3 linked regions of the Arabidopsis thaliana genome follow. The protein of the gene in region 2 interacts with the protein of the main gene of each other region in a pairwise test. Each region holds a gene or a part of one and is shown on either strand. Other genes may lie near its edges.

Region 1 (5,395 bases), on a different chromosome or scaffold from region 2:
CTGTTGTGAGTATGAACAACTCCTTTTGGCTTACCAGTTGTACCACTAGTGTAGACGATCAATGCTGGATCATCTGCACAAATAAAGGCTGAAGTGATGCAGAAAATCCAGACCAATAATTGCTTGAGGTAAGGTGGCAAAAATTAAAAGAGCAGCCTTCATTATAAGTTCACCATCTCAAGTATATTCAAAAACTTACCTAGAAACTTTCCTTCTGCTTCAAAACTGTCATCCTGAAACTGATTGCAAGCAACAGTTTCCGAAGTTGAGTTAACAACAGGAGGAATAAGATGAAATCGAGCACCACTCTTTGCTGCGATGGTTTTCATAGTTTCACTATGGTCCTCTGTGCTCAATAACAGAGATATATCCTAGAAACCGAAGACAACGAGGTTAGATCCCAAGAAAATGTTAATCATTTTTTCTCGAGAGTAAAAAGAGCATAAGGCACACTTATTTTGTGAAACTTGAATGTGGTAGAAAACAGAGCAAACCAGAAAACTTCTGCCTTTTAGAATATTTTCTACTTTGTTCTACAGAGTACCCTTTTTAGTCTATGGAAAAAGACCTAATGCTAGAAAAACCAAGAGCTTGGATCAAAATTCTGAGATCACAAAAATAAGATCAAGAATACCTAACAATTGAGCCGAAATTAAAGCACAAGGAAATAGGAAGGCAAGTAGATTCCATACCGAATCATTCATGACATGTAAGAGTTCAGCCTCAGGATAGCTGAGTGCAAGTGGAACCGCTACACCACCGCTAAACCATGTCCCCAGGACTCCTGCAACAAACTCAGCTGAAGGTTTTGCCACAATTCCGATTCTAGCTCCTTTTAGACTACCAAACCCTTCATACTTCTTAGTTTCTTGACCTCCCTACGAAATTTATAGAAGACAAAAAAAGTCAATAACCATAAAGCTGTAAACAAACTGTGTGATAGCTTCAAGTAGTAGATATAGTAGCTACAATTTCAAACCAAAAACCATACATTTGTCGTATCATCTTTTAAGAACAATTTAGATATCCTCAAAGCAGACGATGTTAGCTGGCCATAAGAGTAACTCTTTCCATCGGCTTTAATCGCAATCCTATCACAAGAATTAGACGCTTCTGAAAAAGCTGCTTTAAACACTTCCATGAGTGAACCAGACTGTGAAGCTGCAACATTTTGATTACATAGATAAAATTCAGATTAATATATAGAAACTACATGTACAAAAAAAGAACAGATTGAGTTCCTTGGAGATGCTGCAAAATTTTCAATATAAATTCAGATCAAAACAACAACTTGTTCAGGTTTTTACGGATCATCAATGTTACTATATGGAAAGCACGAATCTTTAAGACATTTCGTCGAACATGTAACATGCAAAAACCAAACAAAGGTAAAGAAGAAAACTTACAGAAGAGATGGTTAGATTGGAAGAATCGAAACCCAGAATTGGAAAACGAAGTAGAAGCTGGGTGGGATCGAGGAAGAAGAGGAGAGGAGAGAATAGCGTAGGAGTTGTGGTTGAGTCGATGGTTAATTAAAGACAAGTAGTTGAAACTCTTTAATGTTGTCGTAGCGGTCATTTTTAGGTCTGGTTCGTTAAAAGGTTTCGACTTTTTTCGCAAGTCGTACAGTCAAATTACGTAGCCGTTCTTCTTAGGTGGTGGTTGCAATCGCCAAAAGAGAGCCTTCGTGTCGATCATGAAATAGCGACTGAAGCGTTTGGCGACTTTGATTCAGTGGAGAGTTTGGCACGTGGCGTGTTTTGATGATTAAAAGTGAGTGACAGGCGATAATGGGTTATTCTTTAATGACGCTTTATTAGGCATTTTTTTAAGGTTAATTACTGATTTGCTTTTTCTCATTTATTTGTGTTGTGAATTTCTTTCTAAGTATATTTACACAAAATTAAAGACCATCTGAATATTGCATTTTGAGTGATGTGATCCTGACCGTTGATGAATAACAATTGTGGTTAGCTAACATCTTATACATATGCTTTGATATGCATTGATTTTATTATTGTGAAGTTTTGAACTCTAGAGGAAGATTCTATTTAATGCCAACATGCAATTAATAACTTTTTTTTTATCAGTACCTTTTAAAGGGAGTGTACATCTTAGGTCTCCGGTTTGAGCATTGGAGAAGACTAATTTTGTTATATTAAATTATTAATCATGAAATTAGATTTCTTTAATCCAACTCCATCTTCGTCATCAACACATCATCATTCCCTCCAAGATCACTCTCTCTCGCTTTTGAATACCTTCGCGTTGTTCACAGAACCTTTTTGTTTCTTAGAAAACCCCTTGGAGCTGGCCAAAAAAAAAATCGAGAGAGAGACAATCATTCATCGTTCCGAATTAGGATCCAGCATTCCATTTTTGTTCTGATATCTGTCAGCCATGGCGACTCTCCGATACACTGATCTGATCTGATCTATGAATCGACGCTTCTCTGAGGATTCCTCACCGTTCATGCTCTAATCGGTTCGCCAAATTGAGGAACTAACTTGTGTGGCGACTATAATGTGTCAAGGACCGATATGACAGGAAACGCAGATTCCGGCAAAATCGCGACAGAGAAAGACCCTAGGAAGCTCGTTTTCACCAAATTGGAGGTATCTCCCGTCTTCCGAGAATCTCCTGTTAAAGAACTTCCTCTTTTTCCTCCGATTTCTCGGTATTGTTCCAGTTTCTCTGCCAATTTTCACTAGAGATGCTTCTCGTTTGAGTAATTTCAATCCAAAATCTACTCTCTGATCTCCACTGGTCTTGATTTTGAAGCAGAGAGCATTCAGAAGCAAAGGATAAGACAGATGAAGAAGGCATTACTTCGAGGAAACACAAAGGATGTCGATGCAAGCAGTCCAAATGTTTAAAGTTGTAAGTTCATTTCAGGATCCAAGAATTACTTAGTGTTAAGCTGATAGAGATTTGAGTATAATGTTGAATAGTGAGATTTCTATTATCTGCTGTAGATTGATGCATTATTGGATATTTGTTTGACGCTTGGTTATTAGGTACTGTGACTGTTTTGCATCAGGAGTGGTATGTACAGACTGTGATTGTGTTGATTGTCATAACAACTCTGAGAAATGTGATGCTAGAGAAGCAGCTATGGTGAATGTACTAGGTCGCAACCCAAATGCCTTCAGTGAAAAGGCTTTAGGTAGCCTAACTGATAATCAGGTATGTTCTTGACACCTATCACTTTTGTAGGTTAAGCTTCAAAGAGGTATATTTCACATCCTTTTTCATTTGTAAGTATCTGGGATGTTCTGTGTTTTGTATTGTAGTGTAAGGCTGCACCTGATACTAAACCTGGACTGCTTTCGAGAGGCTGCAAATGTAAAAGAACCAGGTGTTTGAAGAAGTACTGTGAGTGCTTTCAGGCTAATCTTCTGTGCTCAGACAACTGTAAATGCATCAACTGCAAGAATGTTAGTGAAGCGTTCCAGCCTCCTGCATTTTCTGCTCACAATTCCCCACAAGTATACCGGAGGAGAAGAGACCGAGAGCTAACTGAGGCAAGTGAAATATACTACTTGCTTCATAACATATATGCACTTTTGGGTTTATCTCCATAAAACTCATTTTTCTGTCCGGAATAGCAGTGGAATTCTTGTCCAGCTCCGTTATTTTCGATACCTGACAATTCCATTCAAAATGCTCTGGGTTCCCCTATGTCTTGCTCTCCTAAACTTCCTTACAGGTTCGATTTTGCATTTCCTAAAATGATAGTTCATCTTCCTTCACCTCATAATCATAAATATTTTAACTGAATTTTCATTGTGCTACTAGAAAGAAAAGGTCCCTCATGGGATACACCTCTACACTTCTTCCGGACTTGGGAGATTTATGCTCACTTCTCGTTGCAGCGTCAGAATCTGCTACAACAACTGCAGGTATATCTGTAGTCTCTTACAAAATCTACACTTTACTGGATCTACTATTCCTTTGGCTTCATCAACATACTTCCTTTAAAATCTCACTTAGAGGACCAGAACAGGATATTTACAAAGCCTGATGATAAGGAAGCCATTGAGCTGTCAAGTGAGTCTGAGAGTCGTAATGTGGAAGAAGAAATACAATCACGTGGAAGATTGATCGAACTGATAGATGTTCAATACAATGGAGAAGAGGATTCCCAATGTAAGACCAAGACAAGTGTCAATGAAACAGATATATACATGGAGCAGGAAAGGGCAGTGCTTGAAACTTTCAGAGACTGTCTCCAAAAGTTCATCAAATCGAGACTGGAATCATAACAGGTAATAATTCCATCTCATTTTGATAATCCCTCCATCCTCAAATAAATCCAATTACTGCACTTTTTTGTTGCTATTTATGACAGGTAAGGTTCATACAAGAAACAGAGAGCTGAACCATAGTTTCTTGATTAGGCATGGAGCTGAGACAGATCAACAATTTTAAACACGAACTAACCATTTGAAACCGCATTAAACACAAATCAATATAGGACTGGTGATAACGACATAACTAAATTTACTCCTCCAGCTTTATGATAATGAATAACCAAATTAATAGAGCGATGACTGATTAAATACTAGTAAGACATTTTCTTAATCTAAAATATTTCTCACTCCCAAATAGCAACCTCCATGAATCCATCCTCAGTTGCACATCCCCTGAACATCCCATTAGAGTTAAAACCACAAACCACCTCTCCTTTATTCGAGACAGCAATGAGTCCAGCGAACCCTTCGTCAAGTCGATGCTTGATGACGTAATCAACCGCTTCTTGGAGGTTAAGTCCTTTATACTCCATAACAGCTGACACATCACGAGCTAGGGTTGCTCTTATAATGGCTTCTCCTTCTCCGGTACACGACACACCACAAAACTCCGACGCATACGTCCCGGCTCCTATCAGCGGCGAGTCACCAATCCTTCCCATCATCTTGTTCATTAAACCACCCGTGGATGTCCCGGCGGCACAATGTCCTTTCCCGTCAACCACAACGCACCCGACTGTCTCCGGTGCGTAAATGCTGATCGGAAGACCGTTCATTTGGATTGGACTGTCGGTCGCAGCTGCACCGGCACATCCCATCGGCGGAATCCGGTAATCAAACTGGTGAGAAAGCAAAAAAAAAGAAAAAGTTGAGGATACAAAATAAAGAAAAACGTACGATGAATAAATGGACGGTGGAGATTTAAGTCAAAAACGTACCAAGATGGAGTTAGCTTCCTTGGCCAACTTGAGCATTCCTACGTTGTCGTCCGTGACAAAGTACTCGTTGTCCACAATTTCAACTCCCTTCTCATTAAACCGGCTTCGGTCAGAAGATTTATCTAACCAAGTGGTTTAGAATAAAAAGTGGAAGGGTAAAATAGTAAATAAACACCTGTTTGCGGGCGAAATCCTCTGCACCTG
Region 2 (5,647 bases):
AGAGGTATACTTTGAAATAAACATATGAGGTGAAATGATGTGCATAAGATTTACGAAATGTGTTGTCCATTGATTCAGGATGAAACCGTTAGCAGATACAATTATGTGCCACGAGAAACTTAGCATTTCCTTTGTTATTGTATTTTATGATTGATCAATTTGCCGTATAATAACTTGGGACCAAATTCATATGCATTTTCGATTAAAAAAAAAAAAAAAAATCGTATTCATGACGAAACAATTGCAAGAAAATGATGACCCAATTCATCTAGCAACATATCATATTTATAATAATAAAAAAGGGAAAAAGTGAAAATTTTGAACCATAGTCCAATAACAAATCTTAGAAGAGATGATATCAATTAAATTTTACTTATTTAACTAAAATCTCAAATTGTTGAATTGTGAAGAGTAATCTCACAAATCATATACATCCTGACATATACATCAAGAAATGAAAATCATACAAAAAAATCTCTATTCTAGGTTCGTTAATAAAAGAGGTTATTAATATGTATGTAACTGAATAACGATAATATACATAAGGCTCTTGCATATAATTTATTTAGGTGTATTCAAATAAATCCTGCAATTTAGGATTGAATAACTCAAGGAATCGTTAATTACCACCTCATGAAAATGTTAGACAACCAACAAATCATATTTACAAATACAACAGTATCAAATATCTCTTTCAAGAATTTTGGTATATATATATTAGACATACTCTAAACTAAAATAAAACTTATAACATATGTATTGTGAAAGGACAGATACAGAGGAATGGGAGTTATCAATGTGTGACAAGTGAGAGCAGAAAAGCATGACCAAACTATTCAACAGGTACATTAAAGTGTTCTCAGGAAGGGAAATCTAATCTTTTCTTCTGACATAATTTTGTAGCCAACTAAATTGACAGGAAACGAATCATTTAGATTTATATACATGCATAAGTAGTTATCCCTCGAACATTTTTATATATATAGGAAATATAACATGAGTGTGTGGATAACAGTTTACATTTAAAAAGATTGGAGGAAAAAGGAAACTTTGGTGCAAGAAATCAGAAAGACAGAAGTGGTGAAAATACAAGAACTTATAAAATTAATGAGTGGATACATCAAAATTCAATTATATTAAAAAAAACAATGATTAAGCTGATAGGTCTTCTTAGTTTATATGTCTTTCTTTCCTCCATCGAATTTGCCTCTGCCTCATATACCATTCTCTTTTAGTATGAATTTATCCATTGATTTTATGTAATGATTATGTTGAAACTCTCGGGACAAATAGAGAAAATGAGCTTTTTAAGTCTCTAAAATACTTTATTTCTTCAAACTATATAAACGGAACAAATAAGTACATCCACTTTTACAAAACCTGGTTTACGTAGATTTTATTCCCTCCGTGCAAATGGGAGGAGATTAAATCAACCTACATCCAATAAACGATAGCAATAATTACGAACCCACATCAAGATTTTTAACAATTTCTATATGAGAAATGTTAAAAATAATTGTAATGATAATAATTAGGTAGTTGAAGAGACAAGACCAGAAGAAACTCACGAAAGCAGGCTTTTGTGTTTGTGTCGACATGTAATTTTATCAAGGGAAAGAACAGAAGTTGTTGTTGTTGAACCCACTTCTGTCTACAAAGTTCTCTCTTTCTTCTCCCTCTTCCTAAATTAAGCAACACATCACTATCTATTAATCTTCCAATAATTGATTCTTATCTATCTTCATTCTCCTTATTATAATTATTATCTGAAATAATCACTTATAGAAAAAAATGAAAAACCTGAACTTGTGCATGTGTGGGAACTACAGAATTATCCAATAGTGAAGGAAAGATAGGAGTAGTTGTTGGCATTGCATTGGTAAAAGACGTTCCTACTTCTGGAGAACCCATCTGTCCATCAAGAAAATATCTACTTAAGATCCATAACCGGCTTTTCGGGATACATGACTTGGTTTTATCGGTAACCGGATTAAGAGACATTGTGTAAATGAAATACCTCAGATTGAAGTATGAGGCCATCAAGGTCGGAGCCAAAGTCATAGACCACCGGACTTATAGAAGTTAGCTTCATTGAGAGAAACTAATGAAACAGAAAAAAAAGTTATGAATTAGAAACATTAGTTTTAACATAAAATGTTACAAGAAAAAACAAAATAATTAAGAAAATGCACCTCAACTTGAGTCTGCAAGGTCTGGACATAATTTATAATCTCATCCAACATGAGGGCCTTCCCTGTTACCTATTCGTTTTCAAGTCACATTTAATCAATTAATAACATTTTCTAGAAACATTATAAAATTAAACCATTATCAATTCTCCTAAATAAAATTGTCTCTACTCTAGCTGACCTTATCACAGCCCGGAACAAGGTTTTGCAGAGTCCTCATCCGCTCACTTATCTTTTCCCTTCTCACCTTTACATATATATATATATAAGTTTAATCAAATATTAATCAAAATGTATTTTATGAAAACATGATTAATGAAGAAAAATTAAAATGTTAAGAGAAATGACTAAAATACCCTCTCAGCAAGGCTGTGGCTATCAGTAGCTTGGCCTCTTCTAGCTCGAACGTGAATGTAATCTGTTGGAGGCTCTTCTTTGCTTCCTCTCTTCTGTTTTTTGCTTTTTCTTCCCTCTACTCCTTCCTAATTCACCAAACCACACCAACATTTATGTTTTTGACTATCCCAACCCCATCACATAAATGATAGATGATACATTACAAGTTGGTTTAACATACCTTGGAGTTATTACTGTTTCTGGCCTTCCTCCCACGGGTTTTTCCGGTGTTGGTGATGGCTGATGGTCCGTGGCTGAGCTGGTCGCAGGAAGAAGAACCGGTGGTTGCTGTTTTGGTTGTGTTGGCCAGTTTCTCTGAACCAGAGTTTTCAGTTTTGTCAACATTATATTCAAGAAAGGAAATGTCTTCAACTGTGGAAATGTTTGGTAGTGGATAGAGATGGTTTTGATCGATGAAACTAGTGAGATTAATGGAGGAGTGAGGTGTAGGGAAGAGAAGAGGATCAAGAAGGGAATGAGGGTAGTTTTGGAAATAAGAGAAAGTTGCCATTTTAAGAGTAGAAGCTTCTGAGTTCTCTTATCTTTGTCGATAGAGATAGTGTTTTTTCTTTGTGAGAGAAGATTAAGGACTTGAAGTGGTTTATATAAGGAATTGCTTTTGTATTCACTATTCAAAGAAACAAGGAGAAACAGAAGAAAGAGTATTTTAGGGACCACTTGTATATTGAAGATACCTTTTTATTTGAGAAGAAATTACTACCATATTTCGGCGGGTAATTTATGTTAGATGATATGTTTATATATAATATCGAGATTGTATATTTAAGTAATTGCATTGAGTAACCATGGAAGAGTAAAAATGAAAATTTAAGTAAATAATGTTGAATTTCAAAAATTAGGTGACTAATGATCTTTCATCATTCTTAGATACGTATGTTCTCTTTTTTTTTTTTTTTCAAATGCAAACTCATGGAATATTTGTCTATTTATTTTGTTTAGTTTTATTACTCTATGGGTATCATGATATTTTAGAAAATTTGTTTCAAATTACTTTATGTAAGAACTTATAATTTTAAATTTTGTTGTAATTTGTATTCTCCATAGTTTTATGTTATTTAGAGAATAAATTATGTTTTGAAATATAAGATTATAAATACTACATAATTTGTAATACAACCATGTTGTAAAACTAAACAAGACAAATACTGATCAATATATCATTTAATTAAGACTTTTTTTATAAGAATATAATAGCGCATAACGTGAAAACAATAAATGTACTATAAAAAGAAGTAATCAACTAAACCCATTAAATGAACGAAAGAACGACCAACGTGGGCAGTCGAACTCGAGGAAAATGTTCTCTAAAACCAATTGATGTATTTGTATTGACCATCAACTACACTCACGTAAGCATTCAATATTGTCGCCCTAACAACGAACTATATTTAGAAATGCCCTAAAGCTATGGCTTGTTTTACTTTATAAGAGGGTCGGACCTATAATACACATATCAAAAAAGTTAATGTACACCAAAAGAGCAATATTTATCATTTATCAATCAATTTTACTTTATCAGATTGCAGAACCTTTGCCACAGCTAATATATAGATCAATATATAGGCACAGTTTAACGAGTCAGATATAATTAAAGACTAGATAGTAGAGAGATATATTACCCTATCCAAAATACTGTACATTTAGAACTAAATATGTAATGCCGCGTGATCTTCTCAATAATAATCTCTATGTGGATACCATAATACTACAAACTTTTGTCCATTTTTGTTAGAGAAAATAAAAACTTTTGTCCATTTCCCACTTTGGATCGACATAGGAAATTTCCTTTTCAGAAAAGGACAAAAGAAAAAAAATTGTGAATAAGGTGTGAAGTCCAATCCCATGATACCGTTGGGTATGCATAGAAGACAAAAAATCATAAATCTCCATTTTGTTTTGATATAATCGGGTACTCTTATAGTAATAATCGAAAAAACGAGTACTTGACCATCAAAATTTATCACAATCCATGTCCTTAATTATTTAGACTATTATAATTCCTTTCTTCTATTTATAAATTATTATTATGACACGTACTTAACAAAAACATTAAGCGAATCTACGATTAATTAATTATCAATTGTATACGTACGAATACGATCTATGGACTTTCTATTATGATTTTCTTTTTGAGATCAAGTTTAGAGCAGAAAGAAAACATGCTAATTAGGAACCAAGAAAACATTATGATTGTTCTTTTGGACATAATTTACATGTCAAAGGTCCGCATGAGCTTGTAATTAATTATCATAACCCGAAGATGATAGAGATTATGCACGTTTCATCCGGATGAGGAATAAACATTTATTGGCATCATATTTTCTTCACCAATATCTCTCTTTTGCTTCTTTTCAAATCAGGGTACTTGCACAAAACCTTTATTCTTTATCTAACGCATTTAATTAGCGGCTGATCTATTATTTGTACTGTGTTTTGAATATTCAAGATCACATTTAAAGAAAAGAATAAGTGCACGAGACTAATTACGAAAGGATGATATGAAAATGAATCTTGAATTACGAGATAGATTAGGTACATTACTTCACTCTAAGAAATTGACTCAAAGTTTTCTTCTACCATCCTATATCCCAAAACATTACTTACAAATGCAAAGAAACAACTTCCATTTTACGGCGTTTTCTGGCCGATAAGTCTAGTGAATTATGTGACGATTGTAAGATATATGAAGTAAGTTAGGTTGATCTCATAACTGTTATAGATCTCTATTAATCACTTCGTTTATTTAGCTTAATCTCATTATATTTGTTATTCAAATATGTTGCATCTCTATATGTTTTCTTCTCTATTATCAAAACAGTTTTATGTCCTTCTACCATATTATTTCCATTTTGTTTAGTGAAGTATTGATTTTCTCTACTAAGAAGAATACAAATAAATCAACCTGGCAATAGACTAATTAACGTACGGTTACGTCTACGAAATAGATATTCATAGAAGTCTCTATCCGCATGATACGAGAGATAACCTTTTACTCACATATCATCGCCTACAATGCAATAAAATAGTAACAAAGAGAAAAA
Region 3 (6,112 bases), on a different chromosome or scaffold from region 2:
TTGCCATCTCCAATTCTGAAACAAAGAATCTTTCCTTCCGTTTCTTAAACAAGTCACTTGCTCCGTCAAGAACTCACACTCTTCTTCTTTATACAATGGATATGTCTTGTTGTCGAAAACCCATTGACCGGTGAACAGATCACACTCATCCGGCGGCAACTCCACAAATGAACTAGAGAATGGGTTCGAAGATGTGAAGTCAGCAATGGAGGATTTGAGGTTGTCATTGTACATGAAGATCCCGAAGAAGAAAAGAGAGAAGAAGATCACGAAGATTGAGAGATAACTCTTCTTTCTTTGCTTCATGGTCTCTCCTGTTTCAAAAAATGAAACTCTTGTTCTTGAAGGTTGCATGATTTGATAAAGAAGGAAGAGAGACTTGGTCAACAGTTATGTAAGTGTCGGCATGTGGCTCAGAGAGATAACACGCACGAAGGAAAGAGAGATAATCATATAGGAGAAAAGAAGATGGGGATTATTAAAGATTGAGAACAGTGAGTTAAAGAGCCAAGCCTAATTGGTGGACACAGAATTTTCTATAATTTGCCCTTTACAATTTTAAATGTAAAACTCTCTCTTCACATTCATTCATAGACTTAACTAATTATGGAGTTTGGCAAAGAAAGAATAAAGTTAGTCGTTTCTTTTTAAATTGATTAATGAAAGTATGCAGCTTGTGATTATATTCCTAACTTTATTTTGAGGGTCGCACGACTTAAACCAGCGACTTTTTCCTCATCCATTTTAGAAGAATTCTATTCGATAGTTCAAAATTGAGTCTTGAAATTGTTTCGGGTATTTAGCATTAACACACATCGATAACACCGGAAAAGTAAAGATTTTATGCGACATTATCACATGGTATGGTATTTTTCTGTGAAATAAAAAGTAGACCACATGTTACATGCTTTTCTTAACTCTACTATTAACGATGCTACTCTACTGATCTTTTTTCCTTCGATAACCTGAAAGAAAGATAGTGCACTGACCGTTTCTACTAGAAACCAATTAGGTATGAGTTTTTACTTTTTAGTGTCCTACACGATAGAAATTATGGACAAAATTTGACTTTGGGTAGGTTTCTTTGTAATCAGGGGTCGTTAATTAAAATTTGTGGAAATCTTTTTGAATCTAGATAAGAAAAGATTTTCAATAAATAATAAGCTGCAAGTTGTATATGTGAGGAAAATAACAAGCCAAAAAAGCTCCCCAAAATCTCTTAGGCCCATTTTTTCTAAAGCACTTGAAATACGTAACCAATAAGATTAAGATATCACAACAATTACAAAGCTAATAAGATGGATCCTTCAAAGAACATTTGAACTCATGCATCAATTATTTGCTTTTAATCATTACATAGTGTCACGAAGGACAAGAGAATGACAAAGAAAAAAAGAACATAAAAAAACATATACTAGTAACCAAACTATGGGTCAAACACAAATCAAAGAATTATTGCCAGATTTGTTAGATTCTGTGTAGAGAGGCCCAGAAGACAAAAGCAATATAAATCCCACATCTTTCTTTCTGCTTCTTATGCCACAATCTGCTGCTCATGGTCTATATACATTTGCTCTGCCCACGACGGCAGCTTAAACTTGTCTCTACTCGCTGCACCATTCACCGTATTCCCAACCCTCTCATTCACTCTCTCTGGTGCATTCTCTTTCACCAGTGAGTTCACCCACGACACATCTGGCTCGTCACTGTAGTCTCTAGCAGGGCGTGACACACTGTTGTTGTTGTTTCCATGAATGCCGAAGGAGGCACTTCTCCTCAACTTGTTCAGCTCATCTCTTTGCATTCCCCACTCAAGCTTCCCATTTGGTGATCCCCAATCGGAGACATTAGAAGCTACTGGAGCTGGTTTGAAACTCAAGCTGCGTTTCGCAAACGCTGAGGATCTTGCATTCATCACTGCAGCTGCCATGGCTGCTGAAGATTCGAATCCATGAGGAGGAGGCTGCCTCACAGGTGAAGACGGATAGTGGTTCATCTGAGAATGCCTGCTTGGTGATTGAAGTTGCATCACAGAAGCTGAGTCATATGATCCGAAAGTCTCTTCGAGGTTGGATGGCTTGAGATCACCAAGTCTCCGGTTATCCAAACCGCGAAACCTAAGTTCCATCTCCATATCCATATCTCTAGCACTCAAAGTCGACTTCAATCTGCTACCATTAAGCTGCAACGGTGGTGGTGTAAGGCTATTAACTCTGTTCTGCCATAAACCACCATTTCTTGGAGACAAAGGAACACCATTAGCCATAGGAGAGTTCATTGGCGATGATCCCAGCGTCAAAGGAGACATAACAGACATCTCAGGAGACTGATTAGACGACCTTGGTGAAACCATTGCAGAACCAGTAGAAGCATTAACCGGTCTTAACTCATCCCGTCTATGAGCAAAGAAACAAACTCTCCTAGCACAACCAGTCTCATCTTTGCAAAGCCGTGTCCTATACTGCGCCGGGTGAAGCCAAGACTCGAAAACACCGTGCGCGTACTCACACGAATCTCCTTTAGGACAAGACCCTTTACGAAACTCGGGACAAGGCACACAAGTGTAAGGATACTTCCTAGGATCTCTCCTCCTTGCATTCTCACCAGGATGAACAAAAGGACATTCAGTCCAATCATGTGAATAAGCCCTAGAACATGGCTTAACCTTAAAGCTAAACATCCTAAAATCATCAGTTCCATAAACACCTTCGTTAATATCAGGAAGTGATGCATCAGCTGGATACTTAGTCACAACACTCTTCAGTTCCTCCTCCTCTTCTTCCATAACCGAACCATGAATCCCGGTCAGTAAAACCTCAACCGCCTTTCTACTCTGGTTAGGAACAAACCGAGAATCTTTAGCCAACAAATCAACCGGTTTGTTCCCATTAGCGTCAACACAATTAGGTGAAGCAGAAGCATCAAGCAAGATCTTGATGATCTCAACGATAGAAACAGAACAGCCAGAAACTGCACAGTGAAGAGCAGTGACTTTCTCGTCACTGCAAACTCTGTTCACATCGGATCTTCCTGTGGCAATTATGTAATTCAACACTTCCATGCTTCCATACATAGCAGCAACCATAAGTGGTGTTCTTTCTTCAAAACCCATCTTCTTAGACCCGACCCGTCTGCAATACCAAAACCCTGACTCATCAATCTCCACCGATGGATTCTCTTCGATCTCTCTCTTAAACGATGAAAGATCATCACAGGCGGCGAATTCGAGGAGACACGTGGCGGAAGCTCCGTCTTCTGATTTCTGCCTCATGAATTCGACTTCTGTTAGGGTTTTAGATGAGCAAAGGTTGCTCTTTGCACCGCACATATCTCTTCCTGTGATTCAAAAGTGAAAAACTTTTAGGAGAAAGCAACAAAGAATGAGAAAGAGCAACGCAAATTGAGTTCTTTCGATTCAAAGTTTCAATTTTTCATTTTCAAGATTCTTCTTTATACACAAAATCAATCCCCAATTTAAGCAAAGTAATGAATAATTACACGACCGTTTCGTCAAAATCAAGCCATTAAAACCATAAAGATTAAAGATTTAACCAAACCCAGAATCCTGAATGAAATAGGAAAAAACAGAGAGAGAAAGAATCAAGACATACCTAGAAAAGAAGATAACTTGGAGAAAAAGAGAGAAGTAAAGATTGAAACTTTGGAGGTTTTTGGGGAGAAGAAGTGGTTGGGGTTTTTGAAGAAGGATCAAATGAGAAAGGAGAGGCTCCTTTTAAAAGGAACTTGGTTTTTACGAAGAAGGAAAGAGGAAGGTACGCTCTTTCTTTCGTCTACCTTTCTCGGTCTTCTTCTTCCTTCTTTATATCATTTTTATTTTTTACTTATCTTTGTTTTGTTTTGTTTTTTGCTCTCTTTCTACATGGAAATGGTTTAGGTCAAAAGTCAAAACTGGGAAACTTTTAAAAAAGGTAAGGACGTCGTTGTTTTGCTGACTCTTATTCAATTGTTTTAGTGTATTTTTTTTGTCTTTTTTATAAAAAGAATATTATAATATCTATCTTCCTATCTCATTGATTTTTTCAATATGGCTTTTTAAAATGATCAAAAAGCAAAGTTCATTTGAAGGGAAATAAAACAATGCCCCCATTGTATCGACTTACATAAGAAAAAGTCTCATTCCGGATGTATTTATTGTTTCTAGATAACATCTTGTTTTTGGTTAAAGTTTCTAGATATAAGGATAATGTACCCATTTGGTTTATTTATAACCGAAACCATTGTTGGTTCTCTTTAGGACCTACTAAGTTCCTAATCAATTACTTTGTTTTAATTATACAAAGCAGAAAGAAAACTCAAAGGGAACTACTACCTTACCCATCCGGTAAACTCGTTTTAGGAGATCCATTTATACTCAAAAACCCTCATTAGAAAATAGCCCAAAATTTATATGTTGTTGATGTTACTATGCATTCTCTATATGGCTATAGATGTATGTGATATCAGATTATCTACATGCATTTAGCTGAATACATTACAGGAAATAGACTTACAATTACTAAATAGTTATGTATATCTATCTGGACAATTATAGGTCACATTTCAAAAGACATAATTTAAATTTTAACATCTGACCAAATCTACAGTTGTTTATATTTTACATCTGCATGCTGTTTTTCATATAAACGCATGGGTGCCCAAAACATGTATGGGCAAAGATCCTGAGATATTAAAAAATATTGTTTTTTTCCAAGTTCCAACAGGTCCTAAGGTATTAAAAACTATTTGTAACAAAATAAGATTAAAATAAAATTACTGTCAAAAATATTAAAAAGAAATTAAAAAAGAACATAATATTTTTTTTTTTCATCATCATCAAAAAAAAATTAAAAAAAAAAAAAAAAAAAAATATTATGTTCTTTTTCATCATCAAGAACATAATATATGAGGTTGAATAAATGGTAAATGACGTTGGGGATGTGTAAAAGACCCACCATCGATCAAATCGACCGACTTAGCAGGTAACCTCCACAAGCGTGTGAGTGTTTCAATACTCTTAACACGCGCTTTCATTATCACGTTGGCTACTCTTTTTTCTAAAGATCACTATAATTAACACACAACAATCTTAAATATATTTTACATGATCAATTAAAATATTTTTGGTTCGGTAGAACTACTATTCAAACAATACATACATACTTTAAAAGATTGGTACGAATCAAAATCTATTGGTAGTAAACAATTCGTAAATAGAGATCAACTTTATCTCAGTGTTCTTATTGATAAGCTTATCTTAATGGTCTTGTAGGTATAGTTGTAATGGAGTGATTAGGGTAAAGCGAGTGAGAAACACGGGCAAGGAGAAGTGCGTGGAGAAAGAGGGAAAGTGAGGCACGCCTTCTCTTCTTTGGTGTTTGGGTGGGCGACAGAGAATGTCTTCACTTGGCCGCCCGCTTACACTTTTTCCCCCATTTCCTTAATTGTTTGCTATCAAAAAATTAATGCAACACCTTTAACTTTTGCAAAAATATACTATAGTATATAGTATTAAATATTCACTTATTTTTCTCTCGTCACATCAAACATAATGGATTAGTCCGTGGATTTGATCATTTGACTTACTCCTCATTATTCTCTACTTTTCTTCGATTCTTCTATATATCTTCCGTGGAGTTTTCGTAGTCACAAATTTGCTATTTTGTGAACTCAATTCATACTACTCCACAATTAAAAAAAAACACAAATTGATTAAGAAATCTAAATCACTAAATTACAAGAAAGTGTACTTGTTGTTGTTTATATGAAAATATAAACATAAACATACACATAACCTGTATGTATGCATTTTAACAACCTAATCCTATATATGGTCAAACTCATAAGTACCCATCATAACTCATAATTACCTTAAAACAGGCTGATAGTTTTCAATCATAATCAGCATATAAATCATATACTACCAATTAAACTGATATGTGAATTCTAACACATCCTCTAACTATCTATAGATTATGTGTGTAATTTTTTTTCGTGACATCATGTTTACCAAAAGAAAAGTGTCATCATGTTTCTGGGTAAGTCGAGTCGTAGATTTGCTGAAGAATAAGACTATGCGACGCTCCTTGGGGTCAATTTTGGTTCTTTGTTTATA

What was found. The genes of interacting proteins can lie anywhere in the genome.
Region 1: the proteins of AT5G50915 (region 2) and AT3G16160 interact in a two-hybrid assay, tested with the Arabidopsis thaliana proteins (one large-scale study listed by BioGRID).
Region 3: the proteins of AT5G50915 (region 2) and CZF1 interact in a two-hybrid assay, tested with the Arabidopsis thaliana proteins (one large-scale study listed by BioGRID).

Annotation. Positions count from the first base shown.
Region 1 is NC_003074.8:5,472,236-5,477,630, reverse strand, and holds AT3G16160 (Tesmin/TSO1-like CXC domain-containing protein), read left to right. Parts: upstream 1-2,283; 5' UTR 2,284-2,540; coding exon 2,541-2,677; intron 2,678-2,784; coding exon 2,785-2,880; intron 2,881-3,017; coding exon 3,018-3,186; intron 3,187-3,293; coding exon 3,294-3,524; intron 3,525-3,611; coding exon 3,612-3,709; intron 3,710-3,798; coding exon 3,799-3,902; intron 3,903-3,993; coding exon 3,994-4,265; downstream 4,266-5,395. Other genes in the region: AAE13 (AMP-dependent synthetase and ligase family protein), read right to left, coding at 1-73, 200-371, 693-878, 992-1,161, 1,407-1,578; ASPGB1 (N-terminal nucleophile aminohydrolases (Ntn hydrolases) superfamily protein), read right to left, coding at 4,598-5,092, 5,192-5,278, 5,367-5,395. UniProt on the Arabidopsis thaliana protein: Plays a role in development of both male and female reproductive tissues.
Region 2 is NC_003076.8:20,709,157-20,714,803, forward strand, and holds AT5G50915 (basic helix-loop-helix (bHLH) DNA-binding superfamily protein), read right to left. Parts: upstream 3,309-5,647; 5' UTR 3,097-3,308; coding exon 2,767-3,096; intron 2,672-2,766; coding exon 2,546-2,671; intron 2,437-2,545; coding exon 2,371-2,436; intron 2,262-2,370; coding exon 2,193-2,261; intron 2,102-2,192; coding exon 2,018-2,101; intron 1,912-2,017; coding exon 1,801-1,911; coding exon of another isoform or gene 1,780-1,800; exon of another isoform or gene 1,683-1,779; coding exon 1,608-1,682; 3' UTR 1,569-1,607; exon of another isoform or gene 1,435-1,568; 3' UTR 947-1,434; downstream 1-946. Other genes in the region: AT5G50910 (uncharacterized protein), read right to left, coding at 1-126.
Region 3 is NC_003071.7:16,769,753-16,775,864, reverse strand, and holds CZF1 (zinc finger (CCCH-type) family protein), read right to left. Parts: upstream 3,869-6,112; 5' UTR 3,612-3,868; intron 3,337-3,611; 5' UTR 3,329-3,336; coding exon 1,535-3,328; 3' UTR 1,131-1,534; downstream 1-1,130. Other genes in the region: TBL28 (TRICHOME BIREFRINGENCE-LIKE 28), read right to left, coding at 1-354. UniProt on the Arabidopsis thaliana protein: Involved in salt stress response. May positively modulate plant tolerance to salt stress.